Linked DNA regions of Caenorhabditis elegans. The protein of the gene in region 2 interacts with the protein of the main gene of each other region in a pairwise test. Each region holds a gene or a part of one and is shown on either strand. Other genes may lie near its edges. The genes, in order: sel-10 and ifo-1.

Region 1 (8,965 bases), on a different chromosome or scaffold from region 2:
CGTAGAGTTAGATTCTATCATTTCACAAGACCGACCGACCTCTTGAAAGAGAATTTCACTGAGAAAATGTTGTACAACTCGGTATTTCAATGATTTTGCATCACCACGAAAAACTACAGTAACCAGTTAGATCTGTCCCAATTTTTGAAATTCGAGACTTAACTGAAATTTACTTCAATTTCATGACTATATCCGTAGATACTGTGAAAATGAGTCAGAACACAAAAAGCAGAAGTTTCCAGCTATATTTTAAAAATTCAGGACTACTTATGTAGCTCTCTTGTTAAAGTGGTGTAATATCGATATTTGATTGCAAGAACGCAAATTTCGATCAACAATAATTTATATTCCAAAAGAAACAATAACAAATTCAAAAAAAATTTGGACAACGAATTAACGTTTTGGGGATATCGACTTTCGGCGTTCTTTCGACAAATCCGGAATGTCCGAGTCTTTGGCACGCTCCAATAAAGAATATTTGCTTTCAGTGAATCTTGATTCTTTCCATAAATTGTAAAGATAATAGAGTACATTTCGGACGTGAGGACCTTTTCGAACACCAGCTTCCATCAGATCACGACCTGGAATAGGAAAATTTTGAATATTTCTAATTCAATATTACAAAAAAAAACCAACCAGTTATTGGAAACTTGGGAGCTTCAAAATTCTCAATCATTTGAATTCTTTCTTCATCAGCGAGCACACTTTTGGCAAGTTGGACAAGTCGCTGACGAAGTCGATCCTGTTGATTCTCGTGACCAGGACGTACTTCCAAATCAACAATTCTATCAATCCACCAGTCATCGTTTTTTAAATTCTCAACAGCAGATTGTCGTTCACTAAGAATGAATTCACCGAGGAGACGTTCATCGTTCGAGAGCTTCGTAATACGATGAAATTCGGCGATTTGATGTTCATCCTCACACAGGCATGCAATCATTGTCATTGGCTCGACAGTTTTTGAAAACCTATTAAAAACTGTATGAAATCTCTCTAGATTGCATTCCTTCGGAAGTCCCAGATATTTTTGTAATTCACATTGTTCAATCATCGCTTTTAACACCTCATCAGCCATTCTTCCAACCACAATCTTTTTGAGTTCTGTCCAAATTCTCTCGGCACTTATTCCCGCCATACCATCCTTGTTCTCTACAATCGCCTGAATTGTGTCGTGCTCGTGTTCCGTACAGTCACTGATTCGTCCAAAGAAACGGAAATATCTGAAATATAGAGATTTTGATAACAGGAAAATGTATGATAATTGTAAAAACCTAAGAATTCGTAAATAGTCCTCCTGGATTCTCTGACGAGCGTCTCCAACAAAAGCGATGCGCCGAGTTTCAATGTCTCTGATTCCACCGAAATAGTCGACAACGTTTCCATGAAGATCTGTAAAAGAAATTCCAATATTTCATGAGCAAAGAATATAATATTATGGGAACGCGCTCCATTGCCAATTGAAAAACTCCGCCCACAAACTATGGGTCTCGTTAGGTATTTAGCGGAAAGCCCGTGAATGCACACGTTTTCAATTAATTTCGGCGATTTTCTGTTGTTTTTGATTATTTTTCATTTCCTAATGATGATTTGAAAAAATTTATGCGGATTTGAAAGGTGAATAATGGGTTTTCATATTACTATAAATTTTAAATCCAATTCCGTATAAAAATTATTTTTAAAAACAGGAAAAAACAGAAAATGTTTGAAATTTGGCGGAAGTGCCGAAACTAATTGAAAGTTTCAATTTACGGTTTTGCTGACAATTCCTAACGAGACCCATGGTTCGGGGGCGGAGTGCTTTCAATTTCCAATTTCTATACTAACCCAAAAACAGTGAATTGATAGTAAGATCTCTTCTATTTGCATCAAGTTGCCAGTCAGTTGTGTATTCAACTTGAGCCCTTCTTCCATCACACACAATGTCTACACGAAGCGTTGTGATCTGGGAAAATGTATATAGATTAAATTTATTAAACTAAAAACTAAATACCTCAAAGTTTTCACAATCGTCAATGCGACACGTGATTGTTCCGTGCTCTTCGCCTCTTTTATGAAGCATTCTAATTTTATCCTCTTCGAACATTTCCTGAATAAAATATATTTTTTTTGAGATTTGGAAAACAATTAAAACCTTCATTTGAGTCGGTGTTGCAGTACTGGCAAAGTCAACGTCAGCCGGTCGAATGTTCATAAGTAGATCTCGAACAGCTCCACCGGCAATTCGAAGCTCATAATTTCGTTTGGCGAATAAATCACGGAGTTTCAAAAGTTGAGGTGTGAAGAGAGTTCTGAAAAATATAGAATTAAACTTAAAACGATTCTTCAAATATCCGGAACTTGCCGAAAATCTTCATTATCAATTTTCATTGTAGTTGGCTCAATTTGATTCATGATGTATGTTGGAGTTTTTGCTGTTGATAGACTTCTGGTTGTTAAACTAATTATTGTAGTTGGGGTCAAAAATTTAGACACAAACTTCATAAAGCTGATATTCACTCACTGAAAAATTACAGGATAATTTGGAGAAATCTCCAATAGAGATATTAAAAGAAAATCACATATAGACGGATGACACGAATCGATATTTATTATTATGAAATAATTGTTATTAACCTACTTAATCGAATGACGTCTGGCATAAGTCGATAAAACGAAGACAAAAATTTTAAAAAAGGCAATGTCGAGGGTAGAACTTTGAATTTTGACAAGTAGTTTTTACGAAAAATGAAAGCGAAAAAAGAGGGAACCGACAGGGACTAAAAAGCTCATTAGATCAAAAAGAAGTCACATAAGGACTAACATACTGACTGAACTATTGTATAAAGGAAATCAAAATCTGGGAGTAGTGAGCCCATCATTTGAATAAAAATATAAAATCAATCAAACCCGATAACTTAATGGGAAACAATCGAAAAGAGAAAGAGAAGAGTGTGAGACAGAATCTGACAAAAAATAGTAAAAAAAAGAAAAATTATAGTGGCGGGCCGGGATATAACGAGTTGAATAGACACATAAATTCGTTTTTCCTCAAATTTGACGTTTCAATACTGTTGGCTTTTGACTATATTCCATGATATGATAGCATTGTTGATTTAAAAATGAGGGCATCGTGTACAATATTAGTTCCTAAGCAAGAACATTCTATGTACAGGGGCAGAGATTCGAGAATTCGTTAAGGGTATACAGCATCAAAGTCGAGAAGGATAACTTTGGTCTCCTCGGTGTTGTTACGAGATCCGACTGCACACGCTAGCATCGTAGAAGTAGAACAAAGTCTCCAAATACAGCCACCATTGCCTCCAGAATCCAAAGTTACTAGATCTCGAATCAGTGCACCTGGAAAATTTTTTTATGGGTAAAACTATCTGTAATTTATGTGATCTAACCTCTCTCAATATCCCACAATTTGACAGTTCCATCGTCACTACTCGTTGCTACCATATTTCGTCCAAACCATTGAAGTGAAGTGATAGCGGATCGATGTCCAGAAAGCATGTGTACACAAGTTCCCTCGTGAATATCCCATACCTGAAAAAATGATTTAAAAAAATAATACAATTTTTCAATGTTCTCACAATGTGAGGGTTACTTTATCTACTACGCTTTTGTGCTTTTCCATACTTTTGAAAATCATTTCAGATCCGTACACCTTTGTTTGCCATCGAATATTGGCTTTTGTAGAAACAGCCGCAGAGAGACAGAAAACGCAGTGAAACATCAGGACCAATTTTATTAATTGGAATTGGTCTCTAATTGTTTAACAGGAGAGCGATTCAGACTCTCGTACAAATGTTTAACTATGACAAGTTTCTCAATCTTACATCTCTATACTTACTCTAACATGGCTATCTGCATTGCATGACACGAGAATATTGCCTCGAAGTTGCATTCCGGATGTAAGTGAGGTGTGTCCTTGCAAAAGAGCCACACATTCTTGGCCTTCCGGTCGTGTAAAATCCCACACGCGAATTGAAGTGTCCAGAGAGCCAGAGCACACGATCGATCGCTCGCTTTCAAACTGAAAACAAAAACATTATTTTTCGGATTTTGTTATAAGAAAAACGTACGAGAAGAGAATAAACTCTATTGTTATGACCGGTCAGAGTACGGATACATCTCCCAGTATGAGCATTCCAAATTTTAACGGTAAAATCATATCCTCCCGAAACAACAGTTGTTCCATCGAATTGAACGCATCGAACGGCTGCATGATGGCCATGTAAAGTTGCCAGGTGACGTCCGGATTCTACGTCCCATACACGAAGAGTGGTATCTCGTGATCCAGTGACAAGTCTGAAAGTATTAAAATTAAAATGTATGGGTTGAAAGTGTGGTTATTCAGCGAGATTTTTCGTTTTCTTCTCATTTTTAAGATAGAAAATGTATTAAAAAAGTCTTAAACAACCAAATACACGTTCGTGTTTTTCTATTTTGAAACAAAAGTTTTAAAAAAATTACCATAAACTTTTTTTGTGAAATTAGATAGAATAATTTTCTTAAGATATAAATGATCTACAAATCAAAAACTTTCCATCAAGATTTGATATAGCTCGCAAATTAGGGAATTCAACTGTACGAAACCCGAAATTTTCAGTATTAAATTTCTTTTTCCAAGCAGTTATCATAGTGAATAGCCTTACATGGAACCAGCCATAGCCATGCATCGAACAGTGGAAGTATGTCCTTGAAGTGTATGAAGAAGTGAACCATCTACAGTACTCCAAACTTTTACAGTTCTATCAGTGGACCCGCTAACAATATATCTTCCGCATTGAGAAATCTGTGATGTCCAAACTCCTCCAGTGTGGCCGACTAGTGTGTACATAACCTCTCCTTTGTCAATACACCATACTTTAAGAGTGTTATCGTCAGATCCAGTCACCAAGACATCATCATGAATTTGCATACAAGTGATTACATGATCTTCGTGTCCTCGTAGCACTGCTGACCCCATAATTGGATTCGCATTCCAGTTCTTTTCAATTTTATCGGCTCGAAGATAACGTGACTTGTCAGCAGCGCGTTCGAAGATACTGAAAATAAATCGAATGTGATCGGAACGTCTTTAAAAATAATATTTCCAATAAACGTACTCTCCAAACTTCTGCAACTTTAGAAATCGATGAACATTAAGATCACATGGCTGAATGTGATCAGGAATAGTGACTCCAGCAGCAATTGCAGTTCCTTGCCACGCACCAGTAACTCGGTCTCTGAAAAGATAATACTAATCTCAAATAATTCCCGTTCAAAAGTATTACGTGGGATCTGGATGATGTTTAAACTCTTCGACACCAAGACTCTTCCAAATTTTGTCAATTTCAGATATCAATTTCCAATTTTTCGACACCTGTGCCACTTTGAGCAGGTCATATCCGGTTAAATTGTGAAGGATTTTCATTCCGAGCTGAAAAAGTTATATTTATAATTTTTCTTTCCGTTTCAACACAAATACCTCGACAGGGAGGCAGGAGAGGAAATCACGCTGGAAATGGGGTTCAATAATGGCACGCAGCTGTCGAATATTTGTCATGTTGGATTCCTGAAGCAGACGTGTGAATGCATCCATTTGTTCCGCGCTTGATAGATCCTAAAATGAATTCAAATTACACTTTTTTTCAGCAAAAATAGAGCGAATATGCCTGGCTGAGGTGCTCTCTTCAAGGTTTGGAAAAATCAATAATACACAGGTCACCCTCACCGGAGCTTGAATGCATTGTTTTGTCATGTTACTAATTATTGTCGCATTCAAATATTAATTTATTGCATGTGTATTAGCCGCAACGCTGAAAGATTGATCGCGACAATCAATCAATATGTTTACCTTGAATAATGCGATCAAATGTTCGACACGCGGATTGAGGTCGTTGTTTCGAGAGGGAGAAGCCGATAAATCAAGTTTGTGTTGCAAAGGTCTGGAACTGGTACGTTTTGCTATAAATATTCACTACAAAAAGGCTTACGACGATAATTTGTCAGCATTGTAGCTGGAAGAAGAGCCATTGCTGTACGAGCTTTCTTCTCCATTGTCCTGAAGACAAACATTTCAATTAGAATTAAATTATATTCTGAAAAGGGTTGTAAATGTTAACATACATTATATTCCATATCATTATCGGTAACAGGCTCCTGGTCCTCCGGTGTCATCGATCCATCATCCATGTGTACATCATTTCGTGGCCACATATGGCTGAAAAAGAATTGGAAATGAATAAAGGACAAAAACTACTGGGAATGAAGAATTTGAACACAAAAGGAAAGTCGATAAAACTATGATTTTCGTGAGAAAATGAGAAGAGAAGATGAAAGCTTTTTGCACGCGATATGCGTCAAGGCATCCAGTAGTGCGCCAATAACCGCTTGACGCATTTTCCGACGCGCACGTTTGTTCACTTGATGTTCACACGATGAAACATTTTCTATGCATATAAAGTGTATAAAGTTGATAAGATAACTTCAACAAATATTCTCGTGTAAAATAAAATATAAAATGTCCGACTTGTCGGTCACATAATCAGTTTCACAGAAGAAGCAGGTGTTCGATGGTCACTGCTGTTGCATATGACAGCTGGGTTCTCGTCCTTCATGATGGTGCAGAAAAATGTGTTCAACCTTGTTTCAAAATCATTTTTACGGAAAGGTTGTTTCGTATTGCACAAGTAAACCATCCTTATAAATTTCAGGATAATAAGGAATTTAAAAAACGAACTGCATCCCACGAAAACTCTTGTTTTGAAATTTTAAACTGAGTATATTAATTCAGTTTTTGAATAAAATAATACATATAGGTAATATGGTTTTTTAAAACAAGTGATTCAATTTACAACCACAAAAGAAAAATGATTTAAAATCTGTAACATTCTGAACGTAATGTGGTATTTCCATAACTGAATTCAAAAGAATTATGACCATCTGTGGCTACCGAGGGGGTAATTTTATGGAAATGAATACCATAAACTGACAGAAAAAGAGACACGAACACCTGCCACAATTGGAAACAATCGCTTTGGAATTTCTGTATAATATTTCTTCACAAATGTCAAGAACTATTTCTGATATGATAACACATTCATGACTAAACTGCAATTCCCATCTGAAATACGTTAGTTGAGTCATAGCTCACTATTTGCTCCATTTCTTTGTTTTTCACACTTTATTGGCTTTGTATTGCGGGGGGACGAATATGAAAGAATTGAGATGTGATTGAGAGGATTCAATTCATAAATTGTACTGATATTTATCAGCGAAAGTTAAAATTCATATTTGTCAGCAACACATCACATTTGCAAGATATATATTCAATATGCTAGAAATTGCACAAAACCGAAAAATACGATTATTTGAAATAGCCTACATTCTCTGAAAACGGAAATTCCGATTGTTCGACTTCAGGAGGAGCCACAATTTCCAACACTTTTGATATGTTTATTTAGTGAAATAAAAACTGAAATAAAATCCAAATCTATTCAAGAATGACGTTGGTATCAGACAATAAATTCGTGAAATATATTTTTATTTTCACGCCTTTCTACCTATATCATTTCGATAAAAAAAGGACGACGAAACATGAAAATAATTAAATTAAAATAATTTGGCAATTTTGATACTAGTCCAGCTCCAGTATGTCAAAAAATTCGATTAGTTGAAAGAGACCTGACCAATTCGGAAATTTCTGTAGAACGATTTTGGAAAGCTGAAAAAATGTTTTCTTGGAAGATTTTCACATTATAATTAAAATTTGAACTGCAAAACTATAGAAACAAAAACAGAATAAAAATGAGCTCTAATTGTAAATTTAAGGATAAAATCAAATACCAACATCATACGTGTTGCCAAAATTTAGGGTTTTCGGTATGGTGTCTAGAAAATGAAATAGTGGGTATACCTGATTTAAAATTAAAAAGTGTTCAGTCTGTTGTTAAGACTATTATATGTTGCCCACAAATTATTAAAAATGGGTATTTCAGAAAAACAAATGTATTATTTTTGTAGAGCTTTATTTATTTTCAAATATAAATGGCCAACTTACAAACTTTTTGATTACAATATGATGATCTGTTTGTTGGTTTATCGAAAAACGGCATGTTCAGAAATTGCCGAAATTGAACATTTTTTAGAAAATTCCTTGATTACCGCCCACCCCTACAACAAAAGAACTACGGTATTTACTTTCTGATCCGATTTGAAATTCTGGTAATCTACGTGTGTTCAAAAGTTGAAGTGGAAGCATCAAAAATGGATGCAACTTTGAAACTACTTTTAGGCACAATTTAATTACTCCCATTTTCATCCGAGATCATTGAGATCCAGACACAACCATCGTTCAATGTGATTTTGATTGGTCGGCATTCTTTTTTTCATACATCATGTACAGTAATGTTTGCTGCCGGTCTATATCCCTTTTTGTGGCTCATATCCTGGAAATGTTTACATTTTAAAAATCACTCCACACTCTATTCTGTCCCATTTTTGTGTCTACTCCCTCCGTTTTGGCATCAAACAACCGTGTCTTGCTCTATTTGGCAAACGAGAATCAAAAGACAACGACGATCTTTTATGGTTACCAAATGATCATGACCAAGAATGGGCATTTATTTCTACTGACAAATCTGAAAATTGTTAGAAAACAGTCTGCGGATCGGTAAGTTGATTAGGACTCGATACTACTGTAGGTTTCAGGGAAAAAATGATTACAGCATTTTATGGGAAATTTTCTTTTAATTCGATTGCTGAAATAAGTTCTGTAACGTTTCAAATCTGTGAATTTAGAAGCCAAAGCATGTGTTTTATTGCAAAATACTCACTTTTTAAACTAAGAATGTTTCAGACCTCAATGGTTTAGTTTTTTGTTTTTCAATTTTAATTTTGTATTGATTTCAATGCTTCCTTTAATGCTTAAACTGTTTCAGTTCAAAAAACAGAATCATATTTCAAGCATTTGCCATCAACTTCATAGTTATCTTAT
Region 2 (10,600 bases):
TGATGGAGGTGAAAAACTAGTTTTATTGTTAAAAGATAAAATGACAGTGAGTTCCTCTTACACATTTGCCAATAGTTTGATGATAAATTTAAGGAGGAAGAATTCGAGTGCCAGCGGAAGAAAATGCACGAAGAGCGTCGTAAATTCCGTGAGGAACTTCGCACAAACCAGAGAAGACGGCCAGTATTTATATGCAAGCAAGGAGCAAATTATTTCAAATCGAAGCATCGACATACTAATAATAAGTTGATTATTCCTACCGGCTAATTTTTTTTACTGTTTCATTCTCTTCCTAAAATAATTTGTCTAATAAATGTTGGATCTTGTTAGTGAAAAATGTGGAAAGTTGATGTTTCTTCTTTGATTCCTCAATCTTGCTTTTTTAGAAACCTTTAAATTTGGCAGTGGAAAACTTTAAATGAAATGGATGTCTCAAATAGTTTCCGGATTTAATATGTTGCATTCAAATATTTTTATTTAAGACTGTTTAATTTAGAACATTTTAAAAGTGTTTTTTACTATTTTTTGGTACTGTTGCAGTAACCATAATCAAGTATAACGATATGAAAACTTTCAAAACGAACTGCTCAGCCAGTCCACAAGCGGCATACTGTTAGTTTATTTCGGCAAATTTTGTCAGTTCAATTTGAAAATTTATTTATTAAAAAAGGATTAAGAACTCACCCAAGAGAATGCCCATCGTTTTTAGTGTTATTTCTAGTGTTATACCAAGTCAATTCAGATATTTCAAAAAATGCAACATTCTCTGATGTGCCTTCTTCTTTTCTTTGCTTTGCTCTCCAAAAATGACTAACGAGTGGAATGTTATCTTATCAAAAACTGCATCATTCAGCATTTGACAAGAGTTTCACTGGCGCTGAAATCAACATTTTCACTTCTCGACTCTTCCTAACTTTTTTTCTAAAATTGCTCATTACTTCTATAGATTAACTTTTTAGTTTTGATTTAGTTTGGGTCAACAAAAATGAGTAGTATTCGATACAGGAGACCACCAATCATAGAACGAAGATATGAAAGAACTCCATCATATTCGGTAACTTCAAGAATATTCGATTTCAGTAATAAAACTGTTTTCAGACGATTCCAAGGGATATTCATGTCTCATTCTACCATAATAACTATCACAGATCAAAGATTTTGTATTTGAATAAGTTCAACGCAATGGAAAAATTAATTGAAGCTGCACACGAATTGTATCCATCAAATGGTGTTTATCGTCTATTTTCGGGTGAGTTTTTTGAAATGAAAAAATATTTGTAATAATTTTTTAATAGATAGTACAATTGGTGCTCAAAACGAGTTGAATGATTCAGTGCAAGTTATGGAATGTGTTCAAAATCCTGATCATATTCTTCCACATCTACATATAAGACTGGAAGGTAAGATTTTACGGAAAACTTTTTAAAAAACAGTTCCATAGTCCTATTATAACAACCTTGTTAGTTCTTTGTTAGATAATCTTACAATTTGAAAATTCAATTATTCAAATTAAGTTTTTTTAAAAAAAGGAACAATGATCTTTCAAAGTATTTTTTATTTTCAAATTTTGAGAAATTTCAAGTTGTTTTGCAAAGGTGTGTTCTTATGTAACTCAAAACTAATAGTAACAAAATTTTTAAAAATTTAATTTTTCAGATTACCGTCCCAGAAGCATAAGCCGTAATTATCACGAAGTTAACGTTCCAATAATTCGAACTCCATCTCAACATTCAATCCATCAATCTGTTCGATTCAACGATAACAAACGTCATCACCATCATCATCATCATGATTCAATAAGAAACTTCGTCCATCATGACACTCCATGCCGAAACTGTTTCCGTATAATTGTTGGAAGCCGTTATCACTGTCTTCAATGTCCAGACTATGATATTTGTGGAGACTGTGAAAAAGATTTGGTTCACTACGAGCATGCTCTTCTACGAATTGTGACTCCAAGGGTTACAAGTATTCCTGATTATGTCACAGTTAACGCCCCAAGTTACATTTTCCCAGAACATCGTTATGATATCAAAAGAGAACATTATCATTGGTTTTAAATTGTATTTTATAGTTTTGTTGTTTTTCCTATTTATGTTGTGAACTTAGTTTTTCTGTCGGATTTCTGTCCTATCTTGTTATACTTAAAAAGACCAAAAAAGTTATGTAATTGCAGAAGTGCAAAAAACCAAGACGCATCCTCCATTCAATTTTAATTTCCTGAAATCTATCTCGCAAAAAAAAAAACAAAAAAAAAAATTCCCTCTTATTTTGAATTTTAAAATTAAATTTTTCTTGTGCTTTTCAGAAATCTGTTCCAATTGAATTTTCATTCCTATTGACTTGTAGGACTAGAATTAATAACACCGCGGACCACCTTTATTGAGAATTTCAAAAACATTTTGTAGGCCATGTTTCCAATTTTTAATTGTCTTAAAATTAACACAATGTTTCAAAATTTCTATTTTAATTGGCTCCATAGAACACTTTTCCATGTAATTAGAAAATGCCTACCTGCCTGACACCTAGAAAGTGACCAACGCTTACTGTGCATTGAAAGCATGCAAGTAGGCATTTTTGCATGCGTGGGAGGTTTCTACAACTCAGCCAAAGCAGTCTATTGTACCTACCCATTCCTTATTTATTCTTCCGCAATCACCAATGACGCGTTCATGATTTTTCACTTTTTCAAAAACAAAATTTGATTGTCACTGCCCTTATTAACTTTTGCCCACGCTTATTAAATTAGTTTCACTCCTGCAATTCAAATCCTACTAAAACCTCTCTGAAAATGTTATTTCTCCTTTTTGTTCAATAAAACTCAAATTTGAACATATTCTGATTCTGAGTTACACAAATATTTTCAGTCCCTTCAACCTATCATAAACTTTGATATTTGCTCAACATTTTGGAGAAAGCGATGAAGGAGTCAAAAACGGGCGGCCCCGTTGCATTCCTCCTCCAAACGCACCAAAAACTGATAAGATGTTGTTAAGAAGAAGAAGGCACCAAAGAAAGATTCTCTTATCACATTTTTTGGCAGAGAGGGAAAGAATTGCGCCTATTTCAGTTGATTGTTCACCCACCATTTACTACACTATTCCAACATTTTTATTGACTCTTTTCGTTGGAATTTTCCATCGAGTTCAAGGAATACTACTTCCACTCTACCTTTTCAAACTTCTTTGTTGTTTGCTTAATTTTTTCCTAACTTTTTCACGACTGAAATTACGAATTCTCAAGTTCAACTGTCCGTTGTACAAAATTCGAATACGATTTCAGCATGGGAGACCTACAAGTCGACTTGAATGCAGCACTTGTAGCCGTTAAACAGAAATGTGTGGACTTGGATGAACAAATTCGAAGAGAGAATGATGTAAGTTGTGTTCAAGATCCATAGAAAATGTAAATTTTCTGGTTTTTTCAGAGATCAGAAAATCGCGGACGTGGATATCTGGGAGTTCGTCGATACATCTATGCATTGACCACCAAGAAGAATGAGGTCTGTTTTTATTTTAAAAGTGTTTTTTTTTTGAAAGAGCTGGCATTAATTTTATTTTGGACTAATTTTTCAAAATTCCGCAATTCGCCTACGATATTTGCAACTCATTGCTCTACTTTGACAGCTCTCGGTTCACTTTGGGTTTATGTTATCAAAAAATTGCCAACTGACAAAATACGCGCATACTATTTTTTCTATATTTTGCTTATTAAACAACTGTTATAAAAGACAACCAAGATATAAATAAAGCAGTTTGGGTGCAAGTCTAATAGTGAAAATACGGTAAATGTGCACTTAACTTTTAATCATTTTTTCTGATTTAATTTCGATGTTTCACACAAAAACCACAAAACACAAAAGTTTAGTATTTTAGAGAAACTATGTTTTCCAAATTTCGACCTCAACTTTGACTCATTCTTAATCCCCTCCTACCTTCCAAAAATTTAATTAGTCATCATAATTGCGGATTGCAAATGCCACAGTGCGTAGTAAAATATCAAAATTTCGGCCGCAATCACTGATAACAGATGCCATTTCTTTTTGTTTAGAAGCATTGTGCAAGTGTCATAAAATGAGAAGGAAGTAGGCGATTCGGGGTGATGATGACGTGGCAAACATTGAAAGTATTTTCAGAACCATCTACAACGACGTGGGCGATCTTTGACAAGGGTGTACGTGGAACAAAAGTTTTACAGATCTGTGAGTTTTTGAAAATGAGAAAGTTGTTTTTGTTATTTTTGGGTTGGGTACAAATTCGTATCATTCTGAAGAACAGGTGTTATAATGCTTTGATAAATCGTTAATACGATATTGAACTTTTCAAGACTATTTTTGAAGACTATTTTAGAAGATGATTGTGCATTGTACATAGAATTACCAATGTGATAAACTGTATGTAAAAAAACTACCAGAAATGTTTTAATGCTTCATCTATTTTTTGTTTTTAAAAAAACAGCAAAAAAGGTTATTTCATAGTTCAATATTTATGAAACAAATAGTAAAAGAGTGCAAACATTTAGAATTAAAAAACAACAAAAATGCAGAAAATAAACGTTTTCGATATTTAAGTTTTTCAAATAAAATCAACGAAATAAATATTCATAATTCCTCCTTTCAGAAATCTGTACCATCTCCGGATCAAGTTCAACGCCTCGAGGATTGCACACAGGATTACGGACCAAATGATGAAGAACGCCTGGAATACGTGGAAACTGTTGATGCTCCATTGGAAGAGCTCATTAAAGAAGATCAGTCTCATCGCCATGTCGTCTCACAAAGACTTCCACAAGGGCACGGAGAATGGGATCATGAACTTGCAGTTTATGAAGAAGATGGTGGTTCTGGGCTTTTGGAGGATCGAACACTGACTGTGAGAGCTGGAGATCATCCTTTCGGAATGAATCAATTCAACGAAGTGGCAGAGGATATTAGTGCAAGAATCGCCAAGTTTTTTGCTGAGAAAGAAGAGAACCACATCAGAACTCGTGAGCTTTCTCTTTCAGTTCATCCAGTTTATCATCAAAGTAATGGAGATGCATACACTTCATTTGGAATGTCCAGGTCAAAATCAATGGGATCAGTTGCTCACGAAGCACATCAAACATCTAACAATCAACATAGTTCTGAAACTCATGGAACTGCTTCTTCAACTCAGTCACGACCACGTTTGGATCAAGTCTCTTCCACTACAAAGTCCTTAAGCAATTTGTTTAGTGTTGACACTCGTCATGACTACAATTCTCGATATGGAAATTATGTATCTGGATATGGACATTATGGAACACCACTTCCACCAGCGAAAAATCAAGAAGTAATGCCAAAAATGCCAGCGAAGAAGTCGGAGCACATTTATGATGAGCCAATTCATAGAACATCTACCACAAATGTGTATTCAAGCACTTATGAGAGAAAATATGACTTCAAGTGAGTACCAAATCTGTAATTGATTGCTAAACTTTTTTATAGAACAACATTCCCACCAGAAATCGAAATGCCAGAAGGATATCACGATTATTATGATCCGAGCAAGTTCATGTTCTTGGATGCAAAAGGTTATTATCAGGTGAGCAAAAAAAACTTGAATTGGAAGACAATTTTTGAATACTTGACTTGTAAATTTAATAGAACCAAATTATTCTCAGTCCATCCAATTTTTTTCAGGGCAACATCACTCGCCCACTTCACTATTCCTACTCTCGTGACTATCTAGAAAAGTACTCGGACTACGACGGAACATCACGACTTCCATCTCCAGCTCCTCCAAAGACCCCGGAGCCAGCATACACTGTGCTCAATAGATCAGAAGATCTCCCACATCACCCTACCCATTTGTCTTTCTCGTTCCCAGACTATTACGATCACGCCACTCAAATCATTCTCAGTCGTGATCCTGGACTTGAACATATTCCATATAAAATTGGGCCATTTGCTGATTACTATGACAATGTTCATCGTATCATTCTGTCGCATACCAAAGATTTGGATCATTGTAAAATTGTAATTCCGTCGTTCCCAGATTACTATGATCTGTCAACTAGATATGAAGTGCTTCATCGAGTTGAAGACATTCTTCATGAGCCAATTGTGATCGAGGAATATCCGGCATATTGTCCATATGAAGACACGAAATATGAAGTACAAGAGAAATCTGTGACATTGGACGATGAGCATATATACGAGGAAGTGTATGAACCTCCACTACCTCCACTTCCACCTCCAGCACCACCAATAGTTGTTCATGTTCTGAACTACACTAGAGATCACGATCACATTGTATTCGTCCCATTGCTTCCTTACATTCCACCACCACCTCCACCTCCAGCAGAGATTATTCACGTTGCAACTCCAGCTGAAGTAATTGAAGAAGAACCAGAGCCAGTTCCAGTGCCAGCTAAACGTCATTATGATGATCTTTATATCGGAAATGACGCTCTTGATGTATCAGTGTCTCCACATTTTAATCAATCCAATGATCAAAAGAATTTGGGATTAGAAAAGAGTGTCACTGATAGAGTTAGAGAAATGGAAAGAGCAATGAGAGGAGAAGAAAGGGAAAGACTTTTGGAAGAAGAAAAGCGAAGGAAATATCTGGAACTTCAGAATGAGATTAAGGCAGCACGGGAATACGAAGAAGAACATGCATATGAAGAGATTCAAGAAAGTGAGTTGACTTTTGATTGAATAATAAGTTAAGAAGCAACGATTCCGCCATAAAAGCAAAGTTGATACGTAGAATAGGTTGTATTCAAACGAAATATGAAATTTCCAATCGAATTATAGAAACTTCTACCCCATCTTCACCTTGTAAGATTAAATGTGATAAAAGGAAATTACCAAATCGTGAGTGTGTTGTAGAATTTGACTAGAAATGGAAGATGAAATAGATAATAGTAGTATAGATTTCCCTGCAATCTTCGGTGAAAATGACAGCTTTTTGAATGATATCAATAGCTAAAATTCCCATCATTCCCACCAAATTTTTACTGTTTCAGGCAAGAACACTCCTTGTCCAGTATCACAGCCTATTCTTATTCCATCGGTGTTTGTCCCAGTGGCAGTTCCAGAACCTATCCCGGAGAAACCGAAACGAACATGGCAGCCACCTCCAAAATCCGAAGAATTTTTGGACGAGCATATTGACAAGCCACTTGGCCCTGTCATTTTCCATGAGTTGATCTACCGCAACGGATTTTTGCTTAAAATGAATGAAGAAAATCATATTCTAAGTCAAACCCGTCCAGTCAGTCATCCAGTTTCTCGTGCCAACTCTCGACCAACGACGCCTGGATTAGAGATCAAAACTATCGATTTTCCACGTCTCGATGATGCCGCATCCCCAAGAGATCACTCTGATTCTGCTGGAAATGTTGATTATGTGCATAAACATATCGAACGGTACAATGCGAAGGATGGTAATGATCTGATTAAAACTGTTTATATCTAAGAAAGTGTATTTTCAGCCTCTGTTGTCCAAGATTCTCACGACGAGAGTCGAGCTCATTCGCATATGCTTTCAAATACCGTCCAAACTCATACACATTCTCAATTAATCAATCAGAATCAGGCGACTCATTATGATGCTTATGCTACTTCTCAACACTCGAATGCTCAAGAGTATTCAACTGTTCATGGATCACAAACTCATCGAGGAAGTGTAGTATATGATGAACCACATGGACAAGTTGTCTATGATATTCCACACGATCAAGGTAAAATATTTAAATTATAATTGAAAATATAAAATTTTCTGTTTCAGAACATCACCATTATGACACTGTTCACGTTCAACACCATCATCATCATCATTATCATACAGATGGCAGTGAACATGTTCATCACTATCATCAAGATGAAAATGCTCATCAACACAGTACAGCTGAAAATGAACATATTCATCACTATCACACAACATCAAATGAAAATGCTCACCATCATCACTCGGTTCAAAATGAGAAAGATATTCAATATCAGCTGGCTCAAAGCAACCAATCGATTCGACAAATGAGCAAGACCAACAACTGGGATGAACAAAATATTCAATCATCAAAGAGAGCTCACATTGAGGCACACATTCCGGTTAACTCACCATTTGTGAAAAGAGAAGATTCAAGAGTTAGCACCACTTCTCATGTGAGCACAGCTTCAACTGCAACTACCACGGGAACTGTTGTTCAGTGCTCGAACTCGTTGAATCGCCAAAATATTCCAGCTCCATTGAAAATTCAAAACGGAAACTCAGAGTCCTATCACGGTATGACATGTTTCAAAGAGGTGTTTCTATAAATCTCGTAATTTCAGAACACAATCATCACCAGCATGTGCATTTTGACAGTGTTGAAAATTCGGAAAACATTGCTCATCAATGTAAATCAACAACTTCCTTGGACTACCAGCCAGTTCATGTCGGACATGTCAAAAATTTGGCAAAACTTTTCAAGTTCGTAGATTCTTTTTAATTTCTAGATTTTAATTCTCGAATTCCAGTAAGCCCGACGAGAAGCCACTGACAACTGAGCAAGTGATCTACCGTGTCAGTGCTGCACCACCTGGTCATCACTTGGAACCAGGTATTTGACATTTCGTCAGCTGATTCTTTTTAGTTTCAAAATAATATTCAGAGATTAAACCTCGTCCACGTTCTTTGCCCCGCATTCCACTTGATGAGATTGAACTCCATGAGCATGGAAGTAAAGATCATATGACACGTCATCATCATGAAATGCACCAGGGTACTGTAGATGAGCACAGTGAACATGGTTATTCTATTGGTGGTGGTGCACAAAGGATTGATGTTTCAGCAAGAAGTAAGTTTGAAAAATCTAAAAGAATTATCACCATCCGCTGAACGTCTAATAATAAATATTTCTACAATCAGAATTTTCAGCTTCATCAACAGTGATGCACTCTCCACCTGTCCAAGTTCAACACAACTCATACTATCATCGTCAGTCATCAGACGAGGAGTCAATCCGTGTTCGTCGTGTCTACAAGGCCCTAGATGACACTTCAATGCTCTCTCCGGTCTCCTTGTCCGGCGATGGACCAAATTTTTAAATTCCGAATAAGAAACAATTTCATCTCCGTTGATTTCATTGCCTCTAGACTTTCAAATTGATTCAACAATTCTTAATCTTCCGATTTCGGTCAGAAAATACCTGTCATTTTCAATTTTTGTTTGTATTCCTAACATTTTCTAATAAACTTAACTGTGAAGTCCAGCCCCGCCAAGAATAACGAGCATTTCCTTATGAGGCCCAGGGGGAACATTCAGAACTTGACACTCGAAATTACAATGCAATGAGGGCCGTAAGATTATCTTTTCAGAAAATATATTTTTGAACCAATTTCCAGTTTAATGACCATAGATCATTGCATGCCACTCACCGAAAATTGAAATTTGGCAACAAACATTTTGGATCTTCCAACAAAAAAAAATGCATACACTTGTTCATATTTTTTGCAATGTCCAACGTATCCCTTATGACTAACGTGAAATGTTTATATAAATACATTGTTAGTGTCATAGTCTCTACGCCTTTCTTTTCTTTCTCTGTTTTTTCTCTGCGTCTCTTCATCCCATCCACTATTTTCTCACCTCTAACTCTTCCGGGGGCCCCGTCAACAACGGCCGCCTCCTACCCGGTCGCTGGCGCGCTCTCTTTCTCGTATCTTTTTGTTCTCAATTTCTCAAAATCTCTCTATATTTACCCAGTGCTTCTTAACTTTTTTGTCACACGTCTCTCCACAACGAGGAACAGCCGCAGAACAGAAACAGAAACATACGCGTGCGCGCGCGCCTCTTTCTCTCCGTCGGTCTGCCTGAAAATGAGAGGATGCGGGGGGCTTCTCTGTTCCTCTAACTTCCTGCGTTTCTTCATTTGTTGTCTATCTCTCATTTTTGGGTCGCTTCATTCTCTCTTAGTTCCTCTGTGAGGGAGGCTTGATGAATTGAGTGCATTCTCTCTTTCTCTCATTACGAAAAGGGCATTATCCTTTCGAGCTTCATCTTATTGTCTTTTTCCTTAAAAAATTACCTAAGTGGCCCTTTAACTTCTAGATAGACCTTGGATTTAGACTCTATCGTTTACATCCTCTATTTCAATTAAGCAAAATCCATTTTGCATTCCATATATCATATTATTTCTCACAGAAATAAGCTCTTACTCGAGCAAGTTCCCCAATATAATCCGCCTTATTCCCACCAGCAACCGGATAAACCTTTGAGTTCTGATATTTGATTAAAGGCTTTATCCTACTCGACGAAATGGGTTTTTGCATAAATATCCCAGTTTAACTCGGATATAACCTTGATATTTTTATAGAAACCAAGTGTCATAGAAATTTGCCAAGTGACTTTTTTTGTTCATTTGAACTTCCACTTATTTAAATAATTTTTCTTGAGAGGTCAAGTTCTCTGAACGTTATTCCTCTTCCAAAAACTCATTCAACCTAACAAAAATTGCAACAAAAAATTCTTTTGCCACAAAAAACGACATTCTATTTCATTCTTTCCGCTCTTTCGCATTTTTCATTTCGTGCTCCACCAGAAATTTCAAGGGTCCCATTCTCCTATAAATGGTAAATATTTTTGTGTTTTTC

What was found.
Region 1: the proteins of ifo-1 (region 2) and sel-10 interact in a two-hybrid assay, tested with the Caenorhabditis elegans proteins (3 studies listed by BioGRID).

What each region holds. Positions count from the first base shown.
Region 1 is NC_003283.11:13,816,586-13,825,550, reverse strand, and holds sel-10 (F-box/WD repeat-containing protein sel-10), read right to left. Parts: upstream 6,191-8,965; 5' UTR 6,187-6,190; coding exon 6,097-6,186; intron 6,032-6,096; coding exon 5,964-6,031; intron 5,922-5,963; coding exon 5,825-5,921; exon of another isoform or gene 5,702-5,824; intron 5,591-5,701; coding exon 5,456-5,590; intron 5,408-5,455; coding exon 5,262-5,407; intron 5,214-5,261; coding exon 5,094-5,213; intron 5,034-5,093; coding exon 4,641-5,033; intron 4,294-4,640; coding exon 4,068-4,293; intron 4,019-4,067; coding exon 3,836-4,018; intron 3,529-3,835; coding exon 3,387-3,528; intron 3,337-3,386; coding exon 3,173-3,336; 3' UTR 2,571-3,172; downstream 1-2,570. Other genes in the region: hpo-31 (CCA tRNA nucleotidyltransferase 1, mitochondrial), read right to left, coding at 394-581, 637-1,220, 1,272-1,389, 1,825-1,942, 1,991-2,086, 2,132-2,288, 2,342-2,391; F55B12.2 (Carbohydrate sulfotransferase), read left to right, coding at 8,574-8,641, 8,910-8,965. UniProt on the Caenorhabditis elegans protein: Probable substrate recognition component of SCF (SKP1-CUL-F-box protein) E3 ubiquitin-protein ligase complex, which mediates the ubiquitination and subsequent proteasomal degradation of target proteins.
Region 2 is NC_003282.8:7,319,346-7,329,945, reverse strand, and holds ifo-1 (Intermediate Filament Organize), read left to right. Parts: upstream 1-3,282; 5' UTR 3,283-3,283; coding exon 3,284-3,376; intron 3,377-3,427; coding exon 3,428-3,502; intron 3,503-4,135; coding exon 4,136-4,201; intron 4,202-4,619; coding exon 4,620-5,425; intron 5,426-5,467; coding exon 5,468-5,564; intron 5,565-5,662; coding exon 5,663-6,662; intron 6,663-6,993; coding exon 6,994-7,413; intron 7,414-7,461; coding exon 7,462-7,710; intron 7,711-7,757; coding exon 7,758-8,252; intron 8,253-8,299; coding exon 8,300-8,438; intron 8,439-8,485; coding exon 8,486-8,568; intron 8,569-8,619; coding exon 8,620-8,805; intron 8,806-8,885; coding exon 8,886-9,055; 3' UTR 9,056-9,212; downstream 9,213-10,600. Other genes in the region: ocr-4 (Ion transport domain-containing protein), read left to right, coding at 1-46, 94-267; sqst-2 (ZZ-type domain-containing protein), read left to right, coding at 986-1,054, 1,099-1,249, 1,296-1,400, 1,657-2,060.